3 linked regions of the Arabidopsis thaliana genome follow. The protein of the gene in region 1 interacts with the protein of each later gene in a pairwise test. Each region holds a gene or a part of one and is shown in the gene's direction. Other genes may lie near its edges.

Region 1 (5,477 bases):
AGTACATTCACTCGGATCTTTGGGGAGCGCCATCAGTACCAAACTCACTAGGTAATTGTCAGTACTTTATCACGTTTATTGATGACCTTACAAGAAAAGTATGGATTTATTTTCTGAAGAAGAAAGAACATTTCTTCTCTTGTATGTTGATGATATGTTGATCATATCAAAGAACAAGGAAACAGTCAAGGAATTAAAGGAAAGACTGAGTTCAGAGTTTGAAATGAAGGATTTGGGGCCTGCAAGGAAAATTCTGGGAATGGAGATAACAAGAAACCGAGAAGAAAATATTTTGGAGTTATCTCAGAGAAGTTATCTGCAAAAGGTGTTAAAGACATTCAGAATGGATGAATGCAAGCCTGTTAAAACACCATTGGCACCACATATGAAGTTTGTAGCAGCAACAGAGACTGAAGCAGAGGAGCAAGCTGATCAAATGAAGTCTATACCTTATGCAAATGCAGTGGGAAGCATAATGTATTCTATGATCGGGTCAAGGCCTGACCTTGCTCATCCTGTTGGAGTCATAAGTAGGTTTATGAGTAAACCATTGATGAATCATTGGCTAGGTGTGAAATGGGTTCTCCGTTACATTAAGGGGTCTATTGATTCAAGGCTGCAGTACAAGAGAGAAGGTGATTTTGTGGTGACAGGGTACTGTGATTCAGATCACTCTGGAGATCGTGATCGAAGTAGATCGACCACAGGGTACACATTCACTGTAGGAGGGAACATAGTAAGCTGGAGGTCATGCTTGCAGCCAGTTGTTGCACTGTCATCAACAGAGGCTGAGTATATAGCCTTAACAGAGGCTGCAAAAGAAGCATATTGGCTAAAAGACTTGATGAATGAGCTGGGATTTAAACAAGGAGCGGTAGATATCCATTGTGATTCTCAGAGTGCTATAGCTTTAGCAAAGAATGCAGTTCATCATGAAAGGACAAAGCATATCCAGAGAAGGTTTCATTACATCAGAGATGCAATCACTGATGGAGAAGTGAAAGTGCTGAAAATATCCACAGTTCATAATCCATCGGATATTTTCACAAAGGTGGTACCGGTTAACAAGTTCCTGAGCGCGTTGAAGAAGCTCAGGGTTACAAGTGCCTGATAAGGGATCATGGTCCGAGATGGAAATCAAGTTACACTAGAAGGGAAGCAAAGGAAAGGTTGACACTAAGGCAAGGTGAAGTTTTGTGGAAGTATTGCCTAAAGTGTCATAAAGACTCTAATCCAAAGAGAAGGTCTCAGCTTGTGAAAGAAACGAAGTCACGAGAGGCGCACGTGCTTTGTCATACAGCTCATCAAGGCTAGAGACGTAATTAACCTCTTGCCAATGGTTCAACCATTTTGTCTCTTTGTCTCTGCATTTGAAACAGAGTACGGAAGAAGAGAGAGGAGCGTGGCGGTGAGTAGAGTTGTATAAAGGAGAAGATAAGTGAGACATTAGGGTTAAGAGAGTAAGTGCAAGAGAGGCAGCTGAAAGTTTATTCAGTCTTGTTTCTAAGGGTTTGTGTAACCAAGGCTTTCTAGTGGATTTCCGGGTAATCTCGGTCCAGACGTAGCGTTCATCACTGAACGTGAACTGGGTTAACATTTGCTTGTGTCTGTTTTACTTTCTTTGTCTAAACACACGAGTGATCGAACAAAGAGAGATTTAGTGAGAGCTTCCGCATAAAACAGTTAAAGATTCAAGCTTTTTTTTTTTACATCAACATTTACTAATAAAAATGTATAGTTGAATTTTCAATATTATATGCTCCAATTGATACTTCAGAATGTGTTAAGATTTTCAGCTTAGCAAAAGTACACAAAAACTATAGTAGAATAGTTCAAAAAAAATTACAATAACAATTAATGATAAATTTTGAGACCATTTTTGACACTGCAATTTCCTTTTAAAATAATTAATAACAAATTAACAATCAAAATGGTGTATACACTCACCTACCATTCAAACCCATAATTTCATATAGAACATATTCCTAAAAATGTGAAAAAATTTTAAAAGATTAAAAAATATTTGACAAAGAGTCAAATACAAAAAAAAAAAAAAAAAATCCTATCTATGTTTAATTTTGGCCATCAGAAGGGAAATCAAATAAAGGGGAGATAGAGCGAGTATACATATACAAGCTACTCGCAGCGTCTGCAAATTCATCTATCCATCATATTTCTCTGCTGCTCTCTGCTTTCTTCTTCTTCTTCTTCTTCTTCTTCTTCTTCTTCTTCTTCTTCTTAGTTTGATTCAAAAAATCTCCTTCCTCTTCTTACTTTATCTCGTATTATCCATTAATCCTAAACCCTTTAGTCTCTCCATCTTCCGCTTCAACAATCAGAATTTGGGTTTGGCGAAAGATGCTAACTTTGAAAGTGAGACTAATCGTTTGAGTAAAAAACATGCGAATTTTGTGTGATGCTTGTGAGAGCGCCGCCGCTATCGTCTTTTGCGCCGCCGACGAAGCTGCCCTCTGTTGCTCCTGCGACGAAAAAGTAACCACCTTTACCTGAAAAAAATCTCATTTTTCTTAAAGTAACACTTTTATCTCAACAAATGCAAAAATTTGGAATTTTTGAGACAATATCTAGTTGAAGTGCTAAATTTATAGATTTTGAGGTTATTATAACTCGAACATGGCCAAAGTAGTACCAAAAGTTGTGTTTTGATTGTTAAAGAAACATTCTAGTGATTTTAGCTTGTCATAATTTGAACTTTGCATATAGCAGTTCTCTGGTGATACACTTTATTTACAGTTACAGTCACTCTATTGAAGCTGGAAGAGCTATGAGACTTTTTGTTATCTGCAATGGCTTTGATTGAGGACGTGGTTAGATATAAGTTATAAGAAAGAAACATTTTTGTTTGTGTGTTTAGGTTCATAAGTGCAACAAGCTGGCTAGTCGGCATCTTCGTGTAGGCTTAGCTGATCCGAGTAATGCACCAAGCTGTGACATATGCGAAAATGCACCCGGTATTGATATGATTCCTCTTTCTTTAGTGTATAAGAGGAAGCGGAAGTTTCAGTTTTTGACATGTTTGTTTTGTTGTTGATCGATGAACAGCATTCTTTTACTGTGAGATAGATGGTAGTTCCCTTTGTCTACAATGTGATATGGTGGTACATGTTGGTGGGAAGAGAACACATAGGCGGTTTCTATTACTGAGACAGAGAATTGAGGTTTGACTTTTGAAAATGCAAGGATCTTGAAGCATTCTTGATTTGTGGTATTGACTGTTCTTTACAATGTTGTGTTCTTGTAGTTTCCAGGCGATAAGCCTAATCATGCTGACCAACTGGGACTACGGTGTCAAAAGGCTTCCTCTGGTCGTGGTCAAGAATCAAATGGGAATGGTGATCATGATCATAATATGATCGATCTTAACTCCAATCCTCAAAGAGTACACGAGCCTGGATCACATAACCAAGTACGTGTATCTTATCTAGATGAACATAATCAATCTTGCCTCAGTGTCTCTAAAGCTGTTTTGTTTGTGTTTCAAGGAGGAGGGTATTGATGTAAATAACGCAAACAATCACGAGCATGAATAGTGATCGCAGATACACAAGATCAAGTAAGAACCTATGCAAGAACAGTATCTTTACAGGGAAATGTCTTATTTTGTTTTGAAGAAATTAGCTTAGAGGAAACAAATATGTTGTTTTCTGAATTTCTTCTCTTTTCCTTTCTTTTGTGAAATGATCAATTAGTGGATAACGATTCTTCAGAGTTATATCTCAAATATATGATTTTCTCTCTTCTCACATTCAGACAAAGCTTTAATAGAAAATAGTAAAATGGTTAGCCATTAAAGGAGATGCCTTCTTGGCTCGGTTTAAGTGATCACCATGAGCCATGACTATTATCTTCTTCTTCTCTCTCTGATTAGTTTTGTTAACTCTGAGTTATAAACATGAGTAATTTGAGAGTCATATGATCTTGAACTGCAATCTCTCATTACTCAAGTCTCAACATACTGTTTCGATGTTTCTCGCTCCATTTTTTTGAACATAAATTGTAATGTCATTTTCCTGCATTAGATGTGATTTTGAGCTCAGAGAGCATAATGTTACTAGTTTCATAACTTGTAAAGACAGAGTTTTTGAGTGATAACAATGATAGAAACAGACTACTAACTCAATTATTAGTAGTAACGAGTAGGTACTAAGATATTAACCATGAAGAAACAAAACTAGTCTCACATGATAACACAGAACTGACTTTTATACCTGAAGAAGAGTATAATAACTCAAATGACCAGAATCAAGCTCAAGTTTTTGAGTTTTGATCTATGGAACCATTATTACAAATAGCTTAGTAGGTGTAGCCTTTTACAAACATACCCTCCTTGGCTTCCTCAGACTCGCCTTCTCCAGTGTATTTCCCGAGCTGAGCCAGCGAATTGGCTTTGGCTCTGGCCAAGAGAATGTCCTGAGCCGCCTTCACGTTCTCTTCCTTGCCTCCCCATGTCTTCAAGCAAGTGTTCTGCAAGGCACGTGCGTAGGAGAAGGACACGTGCCATGGGTTCGGTGCCTGGTTCATTGCGTTCAAGTTCAAGGTCGCCTCCAACTCGGACTGTCCACCAGACAAGAACTGCATACAATAGATAGTTTAACATAAATCTCAAGCATAGTTTCTTCAGCTGCAAAAGTTTACAGTATCAGAGAAAACTTGCCATGATTCCGGGGACAGCAGGAGGGATTCTGTTGCGAAGGAGCTTGAGAGTGTAGGAAGCAACCTGCTCAGGAGTAGCTCTGTCTGTGGCCTCAGCTCCTGGAGTAACCATGCTTGGCTTCAGGAGAATACCTTCGAACATGACGTTGTTCTGAGCGAGGTAGAAGAAGACCTCAGCCCAAACCTTCTCTGCAACGTCGTATGTCCTGTCAATGCCGTGTTCTCCGTCCAACATAATCTCTGGCTCCACAATCGGCACCAGACCGCTGTCCTGTAGAACACAAACTCAAACGCATGAGTATATTCAAGACAGTAATGGAACTCAGAAACAGCGGTGCAGTTAGAAATAGATAGTACTTGAGAAATAGCTGCGTAGCGAGCAAGTCCCCAAGCTGCTTCTTTAACAGCCAAAGCAGAGGGTCCATTTGGAATGCTCACAACAGTACGCCTAATCATACATACATGGAGCTCAATTAAAAAAAGACACCATTTGACAAATATATGATATTGATTCTGCAATCCGAGCATATATTAACGTACCATTTGGCGAAACGAGCACCTTGTTGGTAGTAAGCAGCGGTGCGAGAGGCTAAACCGTCAAGTCCTTGGCACCATGACTCGTCGTAAGACCCAACAAGTGGCACCAAACCCTATTTATATTCATTGGAATCGAACAAATATAAAAAACTAAACCAGAATCTGTTTGTAAACCGGTCAAATCTAAGAATAGACCAAACCGGCATTTTGCTAGTCCAAAACAGACTAACTATTCCAACTCGATAAGAATATACCGGAGCTAAACC
Region 2 (7,094 bases), on another chromosome or scaffold:
ACGAGAGCTCAATGCAATGACCATAAAGATTAACTGCGATGATCCCTAGATAAAATGGATTTGATCTTGTCACTTGCTAATGAGAGCATTAATGTCAAATTATAAAGATTTTAACTAATGCGAGTTTTAATTTTTTTTTTACATTAATTGACTTGTATTCATAGAACATTTGTAGCAAAAACTTGGAAAACAGAGGTTTCTCTCTATTGTTATACTTGTAGGGCTTCAAATTGGAAAAAGAAAAAAACACTGCTAAAACGCCATCGTTTTCGAAAATTAGTCATTAGAGGCCCACGGGAACACGATATATGGGCCTAAGTTTCGGTCAATTCTATATAAGAAAATGACAATACTGTCCTAAATAATAGAGGCACAGAGACAGAGAAAAGCTTTTAACTTACTGGTTTTACAACTGTGAGCTGATTTCTGATGTGCCACTCTATTAAAAGCTTTTAACTTATTGAATTCATTAGTTTGTTTGGTTATTTTTCGTTAATGTGAAAAAGTTTCTGCTAGAACCATTAGCAGGAAGATCCGTTTGTGATATCTAGAGATTTCTGATGGCTATGAGACATTTGTATCTATCTTGATAAGATTGTTATCTGAGTATAAGCTGTATGCTCTTCGTGATTTTCCTGCTAATGGTTCTAGCAGAAACTTTGGGCTTGTGACAAGGCAGCCATACAATGGAATGGAAGGGAAGCTGCTTCCTTAACTGAGCAAGGTGCGATTTTATCTTTAGTGCACCAAATATGATTTACTTTTCTTTCATAAGGTGTTGATGAAGTTTGCAATGTGTATTCGTTTACAGCTCTCGATTTAGGTTTGTTTTGTTTTCAGAAATAAGAACACAAGAAGAAATGTATTAGCCAATTTCGTTTTTCAAATTGTGTAAACTCTTCTTCATAAGAACTCCAACTTTACAAAACAAAATAGTAGTTTATGACGAAACACTTTTCTTACCAGAGTTATGTAACTACATTGAACACCGGAACAATTAAACTATTGTAAGCTGGTTTGAAAAATAAACACAGAGTTATAATCAGCAACGAAGCCTAAATGAGTCCAAGATGTTTGCAATGTTGCTTCCGTGAGATCTACGCAAGAGACGGATAAAAGGCATGAGCTTCTGCACCAAACCCCAAAACAGATCCATCCTAGACATCTTGGTGAATCTCAGAGCCTTGACCACCACGAAATTCCCAAACTCATTCCTCGCCAGCCTCATCAACCTGTCTCCATCGCAACCCAAAAGCTCCACAACCACCACAACCATTGACTCCTCCACCTCCAAAAGCTTCTCCACGATGTAGCTTCCATACTTCTTAAACGATAGCTCAATGCACTGACCATAAAGATTAACGGCGATGTTGTGAATGCAACGCGAGTCATACAGTGTAAGCACATGTTGGACCACAAAGTTCCCTGAAGCATCGTTGCTTAGCCGGAGAGCGTTGGATGCGACCAATTCTAGTAGCTGATCTCTGTAGTAAGGATCGTCAGCGTCGGTTATGATATCATTGAGCGCGATGCAGCCGTGCTGGTCACACGCTAGGTCGAGAGCGTGGTAGAGAATGCGCTCGTACAATGCCTTTTTCATCACCTTGTCGAAAACGACCATGGCTCGTATCGTCACGTAGGATGCGTATTTGTCGGTCGTGATGTGGAGGAAGCGGCGCAAGATAGCGGCACAGAAGAAGGCGTCCACGTCATCTGATTTGCCGAGGAGCTTCTGCACGCGTCTCGAGCCGAACTTGGTTGTGACGATCGACATGAAGTAATCGGAGTCAGACGTAAGCAACGAGGCCATCCTCTGAAGCTCTGTTTTGTCTGAATTTGAGATCATCTCTTTAAAGTAAGACACACCATCGCCGTCAGTCATTAGGTTGAACAGAGCTGCGTGCAAGGGCGTGGCGGAGGCGCGTGGGGCGAATCCAGGAGGAGGAATGGAACCGGAGATTCCTTTAGGGTTTGGTAAAGCATTGAACATGGTCGACATTGAAAAGGGATTATCAGCGACTGCCATTGATAAATCTCTTGATGATCTACAGAAATTTCTCTAGAAAAGGGTTTAATCAGTTTGTGTGATTTGGGAGAAGTATGAGAGACTTGTGAATGAGAGATCTGTGGTGATGCGTAGAGTATTTATAGAAAAGTTAGGGCTTTTGTTTTTCTAGTTACAATTACACAACTCGGATTACTACTAGGAAAAGGAAAAGGAAACTTATTTGGTGGAGTTTCCTTTTTGTTTTGTCAATTTTCCTTTTTTCTTTGCATTTTCGTAACTGTCATGATTTTAATCTATCTTTTTTTGGTGTGTGAAGATAATAATAATCTATCTGAAACAAATGGAAATATGTAATTTGTTTTGTTGTAAATCGACAATAATTTAACATGTCGATAATCTCTAAAGTCTAAACCAACCCCTCGCAGTCCAAGCTTTTGATTTTGTCCACGTCACTAATCTCAGCATGCGTAAATTTATCTGGTCCTACTTGACACGTAGGTTAGTTCTGCCACGTCATCAAACTCCAAAATAATATCTTCTCTGACCTTTTTGTTCTACCACCTCCCAAAAAATCCCAGTCTTCTCTTCCTCTGATTCTCTATCAAGTTTTTTAAATTTTCTTTCTTTTTATTCTATTTTAGTAGCAATTTGGTTCTGTAAAGTTGTTGGTAAAAGAAAAATAGATACGAATCAAAACATTTTTGAATGATTAGGTGATTAAATGCTAAGCAAATCAGATTAAGCAAAAATCTGTTCTTTTTTGGTTGTAATTTGGTTTTTCAAGTCAGATATGGTGAGAGATTCTGGTGGTGGTGGTGTTCATCAATGGATTATGTGAAAAAGGTTTGCTTTTGTTTGTCTTGTCGCTTTTACAATCTGCTGCTGTTTGAATTTTGTGCTTATTTCATTAAGTATTATAGCTTAGAGCCTTAGAGTTTGATTTTGTATCTGGTTCTGTAGAGTTTATAAGAAATTTGAGAAAGTAGGAGATCTTTACAATCATCTAATGAATAAAAGAAACTGTGTTCAAAGTTTGTTAACTACTTACCAAGTACTGTGATAATTTTCCATTGGAACATTGATAGCTTTTGATTTTAGAAACAACAAGTTTCAGATTGTTTTCTAAAGCTGAGTGTGTGCTACTATTGAAATTTGATTTGGCTTGTTTAGTTTTTCTTTGGACAAGTTTGATGATTTATCCAAATTCAGTTTTTTATTTTTTGGTTCTGGTGTGAGACTGTGATCTTCTTACGGAATGTTGCTTTTTTTTTTGTTTCTCGTTTCTTATTGGGCTGAGGTTTTGGTGAAGGGATTAGAATAAGTTTGGGGAAAGAAGAAATGTGCAAGTGTTATGTCAGTGTAGAGGGGAAGTTTCTGCAGAATCTTAGCTGTTACTTGATGCTGCTTCTATTCTATCTTGTTCATGGAGGCTGGTCTTGACACTTTCATGAGATATTAGTATTCTAAAAATGTGTTTTAATAACATTGAAACTGGTGATGAAGTGGAAACCGAGAGGCAAGTGTTTGGTTCATCTGAAGAAGATGAATTTCGAGTTGAAGATACTGCTAGAAATACCAACAATGTACAGATTTCTCAACAACAGCAGCAACCGCTAGCTCATGTTGTGAAGTGGGAGAGGTATCTCCCAGTTAGATCGCTTAAGGTTCTTCTGGTGGAGAATGATGACTCAACACGCCATATTGTTACTGCCCTTTTAAAGAATTGCAGCTATGAAGGTTTTCTTATATTGAATTGATCATCCTTGTTTAGCAATCACATTTTTGCTTTTGACTAACAGTTGTAAATTTGGAAACTTTTTGTCAGTTACTGCTGTTCCGGATGTCCTTGAAGCCTGGAGAATTCTAGAAGATGAGAAAAGTTGCATTGATCTTGTCTTAACAGAGGTTGACATGCCTGTGCATTCAGGAACCGGTCTGCTGTCCAAGATTATGAGCCATAAGACACTTAAGAACATCCCCGTCATAAGTATTTACTCAAATCCTTGATTAAATTTTTGTTTATCCAGCTTCAATATGCCATGCTCAGTTTGTGTAACTCAAGATGTGATGTTTCTTTTTGTAGTGATGTCATCACATGATTCTATGGTTCTGGTCTTTAAGTGTTTGTCGAATGGTGCTGTTGATTTTCTCGTGAAACCCATTAGAAAGAACGAACTAAAGAATCTTTGGCAACATGTCTGGAGAAGATGTCACAGCGTAAGAGTTCTGATTTGGTTACCTGTTTTACAAAAGTTACTCTGTGTTTTTTTCTTACTTATGCGTTTATTGATTTACCAGTCTAGCGGAAGCGGAAGTGAGAGTGGAATACATGACAAGAAGTCGGTGAAACCTGAAAGCACCCAAGGGTCAGAAAATGATGCCAGCATCAGTGATGAACACAGGAATGAAAGTGGGAGTAGTGGTGGTTTGAGTAACCAAGATGGTGGGAGTGATAACGGGAGTGGAACTCAGGTAATCTGTTCTATGGCTATAGATAATAACAATGTCTGAATAAATCGGTTTATAAATTTTTGATTGGTTTTGCATTTATAAAAATATGTAGAGTTCTTGGACAAAAAGAGCCAGTGATACTAAGAGCACCTCGCCTTCAAATCAATTTCCCGATGCACCCAACAAGAAAGGAACCTATGAAAATGGATGTGCACATGTTAATAGACTGAAGGAGGCTGAAGATCAGAAGGAACAAATAGGTAAGAACGCAAATTAATTAGTCAATTAAAATGTGAGTACACTGATCTTGTGGAACAATTCCTTGAGATTCTCTCTGATTTACTTTAATTCAAAACAATGACTTTAGATGATATTGTATTAGGCACGGGATCACAGACAGGAATGTCTATGAGTAAGAAAGCTGAAGAACCAGGAGATCTTGAAAAGAATGCAAAGTATTCTGTTCAAGCTTTGGAGAGAAACAATGATGACACGCTGAATCGCTCTTCTGGTAACTCACAAGTAGAAAGCAAAGCACCTTCATCTAACCGAGAAGATTTGCAATCACTCGAGCAAACTCTGAAAAAAACAAGAGAGGATAGAGATTACAAAGTCGGTGATCGAAGTGTGTTGAGGCATTCAAATCTCTCTGCATTCTCAAAGTAAGTTCTTGACATTAACTGCAAATGAAATGTCGAACCTGTGACTGATTTGGAGTTATTGGTTCTCTTGTGATATGCAGATACAATAATGGTGCTACTTCTGCTAAGAAGGTAACTTTTCATGATGCTTGGCGCTGTCTTTGAAATTTATGCCGGTTTCATCAAAAACTTTGAACTTTTGCTGAGTTAGGCTCCAGAAGAAAATGTGGAAAGTTGTTCTCCTCATGACAGTCCTATTGCAAAACTGTTGGGTTCGAGTTCAAGCAGTGACAATCCTTTAAAGCAGCAGTCTAGTGGAAGTGACCGATGGGCACAAAGAGAAGCTGCTTTGATGAAGTTTCGCCTTAAACGTAAAGAGCGATGTTTTGAGAAAAAGGTAAGCTCTAAACAAGCTTAAGCTCTTGTTTCCTGAGACGAAACTAACGTTTTTTTTGGTATCCTTTAGGTTAGGTACCATAGCAGGAAGAAACTAGCTGAGCAACGGCCTCACGTCAAAGGTCAATTCATTCGCAAGTAAGTTCAAATCCTTTCCAAGATTTCTCCCTCTAGATGTTTCGAAAAGTATCCTGATATAGTAATGTACTCACATGGAGTCCTTTGCCTTTAGGAGGGATGATCATAAATCAGGAAGTGAAGACAATTGAACAACAAAATTGGTATAGAAGAGAGATCCACCTCCAATATCTGAAGAACAGAAGAAAATTTCACAAAGTGGCATTTTTTTTTTTCCATTTCCAAAAACAGATAGTAGTCTTGTTTAAATAACGTCATTACTATTCTACAAACATAATAATGTCGCTATAGTACTTCTTCTCTGAAAACAATAACTCATTAACATTTCAATAAATAATGTTACTCATTAATTAGTGTGTGTGTTTTATGAATATAATTTGAGTATTTAATTCTCTAATTTTTTTAAGAATTATTAGAGCGCATAATCTCCCGTCTATATAAATATCCTCCGGCGAATTCTTTTAGTTCTCATCATCCAAACCTCTCTCATTCTCTTTCTCGCTCTAGTTTTCTCGTTGAGAGTCTCTTACTCTGTTTAATTACTTGTTTCCGGGAAAAAGATTCTCGGGAAAACAAAAGAAAAAAATCTCAAGAAAGATTCATCTTCGTTGATCGCTACGATGAAACGTTTCTTATGCTGTCTCAAAGGAGGAAGCTCAAGTAACGCAGCGCAAGGTAACGACGAGAACGACGAAGTAGATGTCGAGCGCCTATTTGGGAATAACGAGCGCCTCAATCATCTTTGGAGAAATCATCTCCGACTCCCTGACGATCGTGAAGTTGCAGGTTCCGTTTTCGTTTCTCTTCTTCAATCTCTTGAAATCGAGATTTCTTGTTTTCTGGGTTTCTTGTATCTTACGCAACTCTGTATTTTAAGAGTTTCTTTCTTACTTCTTCGTTTTGGTCTCGTCACATTCTTGCAAGTGAAAGTAGTATCTTGTTCAATCTTTAACCTTTGGTAATTCATTTGCAGATCCGACTGCTGCTCTGTTACCAGTATCTCCACCTCTACCTGATAATTGTGGAGAATCATTTCTATGGCGTGAGCTCGTAAACGGAACCATAAACTTCCGGGACGAATTTTATCTCGGCAAAGGCAACTTCGGCGAAGTCCATCGCTGCTATTTCTCAAGACTTAATGTGGTATATAGACCCAAAGGTCATGTCCTTTATGCTTAATAATCGAAACCCAGTTTCTAAAGTCTGAAACTTTTGATTTCATTAGGATGGAGCGGTAAAGGTTCAAAATCCACAGAATCCAACTGGTCATGTTGAGTTCTTGGCAGAGGTTACAACGTTACGTGCAACTAATCATCCAAATGTGATTAGACTTCTTGGCAACTGTTACGGCCAAAGGAACCGTGCTATAATTTACGAATTCATGGCCAACGGAGATCTTGAGCGTCACATCTTTGGTAAAGAAAACTCAATCAAACCCTAATTGATGACTCTGTTTTAGC
Region 3 (4,601 bases), about 10 Mb from region 1:
CGTTAAATCTGTCGCACACAATCATAAAAATTTAAAAATTCACCAGAGATGTACTGAAAAGAATATAATTAATCACATGATGATATATGCATAGGAGATGAGGATTATTCATTTTCTGAAATTCCCTATATGAACCATTATAATTGTTTAGTAATCAGTTCAGAAATGCTAATCATTATATGAACCATTATAATTCCCTTCATTTTTATTTAAGATCCACTTAACAGGATTTGTTAATATGCACCCACATCACTAAATACATTGGTACGCAACCGTTGTTCCATTTCCATTTTCACATCGACCAGAATGTTTACTATGCGGTAAATTGTGTAGTATGCAGATTTTTTTGTATCATTTAATTTTCTAACACTTGTTAAGTCGAAACTAATTTTGTCACAAGTAAAAGAAATAAAAAAGGTGGAAATTATTAATCAGTAGTTAGATGATTAGTTTCGAGTTGAAATGAAACTCGACTTAACAAGTGATAGCGACGACTCTAGAAACAGCCAAAATCCGCCCTATTGCTACCTGTCGACCCACAAATCGTTTACTCAAAAATGAATAAAAAATTTACGATAAAGCAAACCCAAAGTTATATCTTATTATATGCTAAGGAGCCCTCCCAAAAAAGAACAACAAATCACATTTTTATATAACTGTTAACATAATAATCTCAGCCTCATCAACACACATATATAGATAGCCAACATCACACAAACATAGAGATTCCAAAAAATAAAAATAAAGAAAACATAAATCCTCTGAGGAAAAATTCCGATGAGATGACAGAAGGTGGAGAATATTCTCCGGCGATGATGTCAGCAGAGCCATTCTTGACCATGAAGAAGATGAAGAAGAGCAACCACAACAAGAACAATCAGAGAAGGTTTAGCGACGAGCAGATCAAGTCACTGGAGATGATGTTTGAGTCTGAGACAAGGCTTGAGCCAAGGAAGAAGGTTCAATTAGCTAGAGAGCTAGGGTTGCAGCCGAGGCAAGTGGCTATATGGTTTCAGAACAAGAGGGCTCGTTGGAAATCCAAGCAGCTCGAGACTGAGTACAACATTCTCAGACAAAACTACGACAACTTGGCTTCTCAGTTCGAGTCCTTAAAGAAAGAAAAACAAGCTTTAGTCTCTGAGGTATGTTCTAAACTCTGTTTATTCTTACATGGTTAGTTAAAATCTGTGTATTTTGTGGTTGTATACTGAAAAACTGTGGTTTTAAATATGTGATAAAATATGTGCTTTAGTGGTTATATTGCAATTAAGGACTGATTAGGTGATCAAGAAAAACTCTGTTTTGATGGTTTATTGAAGGAGAGAATAGATTGTTGATGAGTTGTTTTATACCTTTATGTAGTTGCAGAGGCTAAAAGAGGCGACGCAAAAGAAGACACAGGAGGAGGAAAGGCAGTGTAGTGGAGATCAAGCGGTGGTTGCTCTAAGCAGCACACATCATGAATCAGAAAACGAAGAGAACCGGAGGCGTAAACCGGAAGAGGTTAGACCGGAGATGGAGATGAAAGATGATAAGGGTCATCATGGGGTTATGTGTGATCATCATGATTATGAAGATGATGATAATGGTTATAGTAACAACATCAAGAGAGAGTATTTTGGTGGGTTTGAGGAAGAACCAGATCACTTAATGAACATTGTTGAACCAGCTGATAGTTGTTTGACATCATCTGATGATTGGAGAGGTTTCAAATCAGATACTACTACTCTCTTGGACCAATCCAGCAACAATTACCCTTGGCGGGATTTTTGGTCATGAAAACAATAAACTCTAAACAAGAAGATGAAACAGATTGAGACTAAAGATTGGATATATACATATTCAAATCGAAATTTACCGGTCTACATCGCATGAACCGAGCCACGGATATAGAGATATTCGGTCCAGCAAATGACTCGTTTCTCAGCGAGAATTTTGCAGGATTTTGAGCTGAAATTGTATGGTTTTGTCTGTATAAATGATGTGTTTAGAAAGACGTATATTCTCAGTTCGTGTTTGTAATTCTGTTTTTAAGTAGTAAGTACTCGTCATGCTTTGTAGCTAAGTAGTAAGTTTAAGACTAAATTTGGATGAATAAAAATCAAAAGCAGGAGAAATCATATATATAAAGTGTTATGCATTAATATGTAAAAGATCAAGAAGAGAACTAAGTTGGTGAGAAGAAACTGATATTAGGAACACGAAAAGAACCATGAAACCCAAGTTAACATCTTCTTGACTCGGAAGATTTAAGGAGAAACTTTGTTTTTTTCTCAACAAAAGCAGAGTATCAAAACAGAGTCAGTCAATTCGCAAATTCTTATGTATTTAACTTGCAGATTTGAGGAAAGCAAGTCAGCAGAAAAAGCCGTCGTTGCTTTAGAGGAGAGTACTTCAGGTGAGCCAAAGACACCAACCGAATCACATGAAAAGTTGAGAAAAGTAAGATCTGATCAAGGAAGCTCCACAACGAGCAGCAACCAGGAGAATATCGGATCATCAAGCGTAAGCTTCCGTAACCAAGTTCTTCAGTCCACAGTAACGAATCAGAAGCAAGATTCACCCATACCGGTAGAATCAAATCGCGAGAAAGCAGCTAGCAAGGAAGTAGAAGCTGGTTCTCAAAGCACCAATGAGGGGATTGCTGGACAAAGCAGTAGCACAGAGAAACCAAAGGAAGAAGAAAGTGCGAAACAACGTTGGAGTAGAAGCCAGAGAGAAGCTGCATTGATGAAGTTCCGGTTGAAGAGGAAAGATCGATGCTTTGACAAAAAGGTAAGAGACACACAAGCTTCATCATAAAAACAGCATCTGAAACAAATACAAGATCAAACTGATTCAATGGAGATGTATAAAAATGGATTACAGGTTCGGTACCAGAGCAGGAAGAAGCTAGCAGAACAACGTCCTCGAGTGAAAGGCCAGTTCGTGCGAACCGTGAATTCAGACGCGTCTACAAAATCATGAAGAGCTCTTTCAGTTTTTCCTCTGATTTCTTTTGTTGATTTTATAACAGAAACTTATTTAGCTTTTGCAATCTTTAGTGTGCTTTTTTTTTTTATGTATTTGATTGGCTTCTTCTTCTCAGCTAATATGAGATACTGGGGCAACTTTTGTATATATGTCTGCAAATGATCAGGCTAAGCTAAAACAGTAATTCCAATTTCGTTAAGTTGAGAAATATTTCTTGTTGTGATCATATCCAGGCCGCTTCTCTCTCGATACATACCAACAAGAAACAGATTCTATAAAACTTGATTTATATACCATTGCTATAGTCTATGTATTAAAACTCATCACATTAATTCTCTCACAGTCAGAGAAACAAAAAAAAGGAAACAGAAGCTATCAAAAGAAATCTTTTTTGTGACCGTTAAAAGAAGATTTTGTGACCGTTAATTGTGATTATCAGTTTCCTTTTCTTCGCTTATAAATAAATAATTACTCTCTCACTGAGAGTCTCAACGCTTCTTCTAAAGAATTCGACAAATCAAAACTCTCTATTTCTCGCTTCTTCTTATTCTAAAACCCTAATTCTCTTCTCAAGACAATTTTGTCTTTATCTCTCTGTGAATTCCGATGATGATCCAAGTAGAGATATTCAAGTAAAAGCCGATGGTGATGATCTCTGAAACGTCCGTAATTGATCGGAGCGATATCATATCATCATCGTTTCGTGATTGAACCATCAAATCTATGTCATCAAGATCGATGTCGCCAGATAATGATCTGACCAACGAGAGACGCTTTCACCGGAGACTACAAAGAGGAGGATATAGCCAAGAGAGCGGAGAGCTTTATGGTGGTGGATGATGTCACGAGAGGGCTCCCAAAGACCGACGGGCTCAAATCTGACTTTGGAATGGGCTTTGCTCTATGGGCCCTTTTTGCTACTAAATCCAACAAGGTATTACTTTTTTCATTCTTTTTTTTTTTGTTTTATTTTCCTTCAAAATTATTTTTAAGTAAAACTAAAACTAATTAGTTTCACCATAACATTTATATAACTAAAATGTTTATATATTTTCATTAGTTTAAGTGTAAAATGTTTTTACACCTATATTTTATTATAACTTTAGATTTTTTTTATATAGATAAGTGTTAAATTTTTAAATTTTGTGTAAACTAATTGGATACATCATCCAATCCCCTAAGAGTTGTTCTAGGTTCAATATGGTTTACATTTTATTTAACTTTTTAACACTTGTTTTTCTTATATTTAGCATTTATTATTATTATTATTTTGAAAAGATTTTCAACTCTTTTTTTTAAGGTTTTATAAATACTAAATTAATATGACGTTGTGAAATCTAACCGGATTTTGGGTCCCGCCATTTAATCGTGCTTATTAGCGATTCCATAAATCCAACATGTTTTTCACTTTTTCATGTATATTTAGCATTTCTTTTTTCTTAAAAGGTTTTCAACTCTTTTTTTTTTTTTTTTAAATTTTATAAATACTAAATTAATATGACGTTGTGAAATCTAACCGGATTTTGGATCCCGCCATTTAACCGTGGTCATTAGCGATTCCACAAATCCAACATGTTTTTCACTTCTTCATGTATATTTAGCATTTATTTTTTATTTTATTTTCTTAA

Evidence for each region.
Region 2: the proteins of BBX18 (region 1) and PRR3 interact in a two-hybrid assay, tested with the Arabidopsis thaliana proteins (one large-scale study listed by BioGRID).
Region 3: the proteins of BBX18 (region 1) and AT2G46670 interact in a two-hybrid assay, tested with the Arabidopsis thaliana proteins (one large-scale study listed by BioGRID).

What each region holds. Positions count from the first base shown.
Region 1 is NC_003071.7:9,124,102-9,129,578, forward strand, and holds BBX18 (B-box zinc finger family protein), read left to right. Parts: upstream 1-2,161; 5' UTR 2,162-2,400; coding exon 2,401-2,493; intron 2,494-2,875; coding exon 2,876-2,972; intron 2,973-3,063; coding exon 3,064-3,179; intron 3,180-3,262; coding exon 3,263-3,427; intron 3,428-3,503; coding exon 3,504-3,551; 3' UTR 3,552-3,886; downstream 3,887-5,477. Other genes in the region: FBA1 (fructose-bisphosphate aldolase 1), read right to left, coding at 4,315-4,593, 4,676-4,945, 5,032-5,122, 5,215-5,324. UniProt on the Arabidopsis thaliana protein: Acts as a negative regulator of seedling photomorphogenesis. Acts as a negative regulator of blue light-mediated inhibition of hypocotyl elongation through increase of bioactive gibberellin levels.
Region 2 is NC_003076.8:24,196,886-24,203,979, reverse strand, and holds PRR3 (pseudo-response regulator 3), read left to right. Parts: upstream 1-2,615; 5' UTR 2,616-2,851; exon of another isoform or gene 2,852-3,317; 5' UTR 3,318-3,477; coding exon 3,478-3,745; intron 3,746-3,833; coding exon 3,834-3,995; intron 3,996-4,091; coding exon 4,092-4,480; intron 4,481-4,571; coding exon 4,572-4,719; intron 4,720-4,841; coding exon 4,842-5,121; intron 5,122-5,201; coding exon 5,202-5,232; coding exon of another isoform or gene 5,233-5,265; exon of another isoform or gene 5,266-5,311; coding exon 5,312-5,497; intron 5,498-5,566; coding exon 5,567-5,634; intron 5,635-5,728; coding exon 5,729-5,765; 3' UTR 5,766-5,982; downstream 5,983-7,094. Other genes in the region: PUM18 (pumilio 18), read right to left, coding at 1,043-2,026; AT5G60090 (Protein kinase superfamily protein), read left to right, coding at 6,255-6,420, 6,608-6,777, 6,860-7,049. UniProt on the Arabidopsis thaliana protein: Controls photoperiodic flowering response. Component of the circadian clock. Controls the degradation of APRR1/TOC1 by the SCF(ZTL) complex. Expression of several members of the ARR-like family is controlled by circadian rhythm.
Region 3 is NC_003071.7:19,162,955-19,167,555, reverse strand, and holds AT2G46670 (CCT motif family protein), read left to right. Parts: upstream 1-2,322; coding exon 2,323-2,775; intron 2,776-2,868; coding exon 2,869-2,967; 3' UTR 2,968-3,199; downstream 3,200-4,601. Other genes in the region: HB-7 (homeobox 7), read left to right, coding at 783-1,142, 1,363-1,779.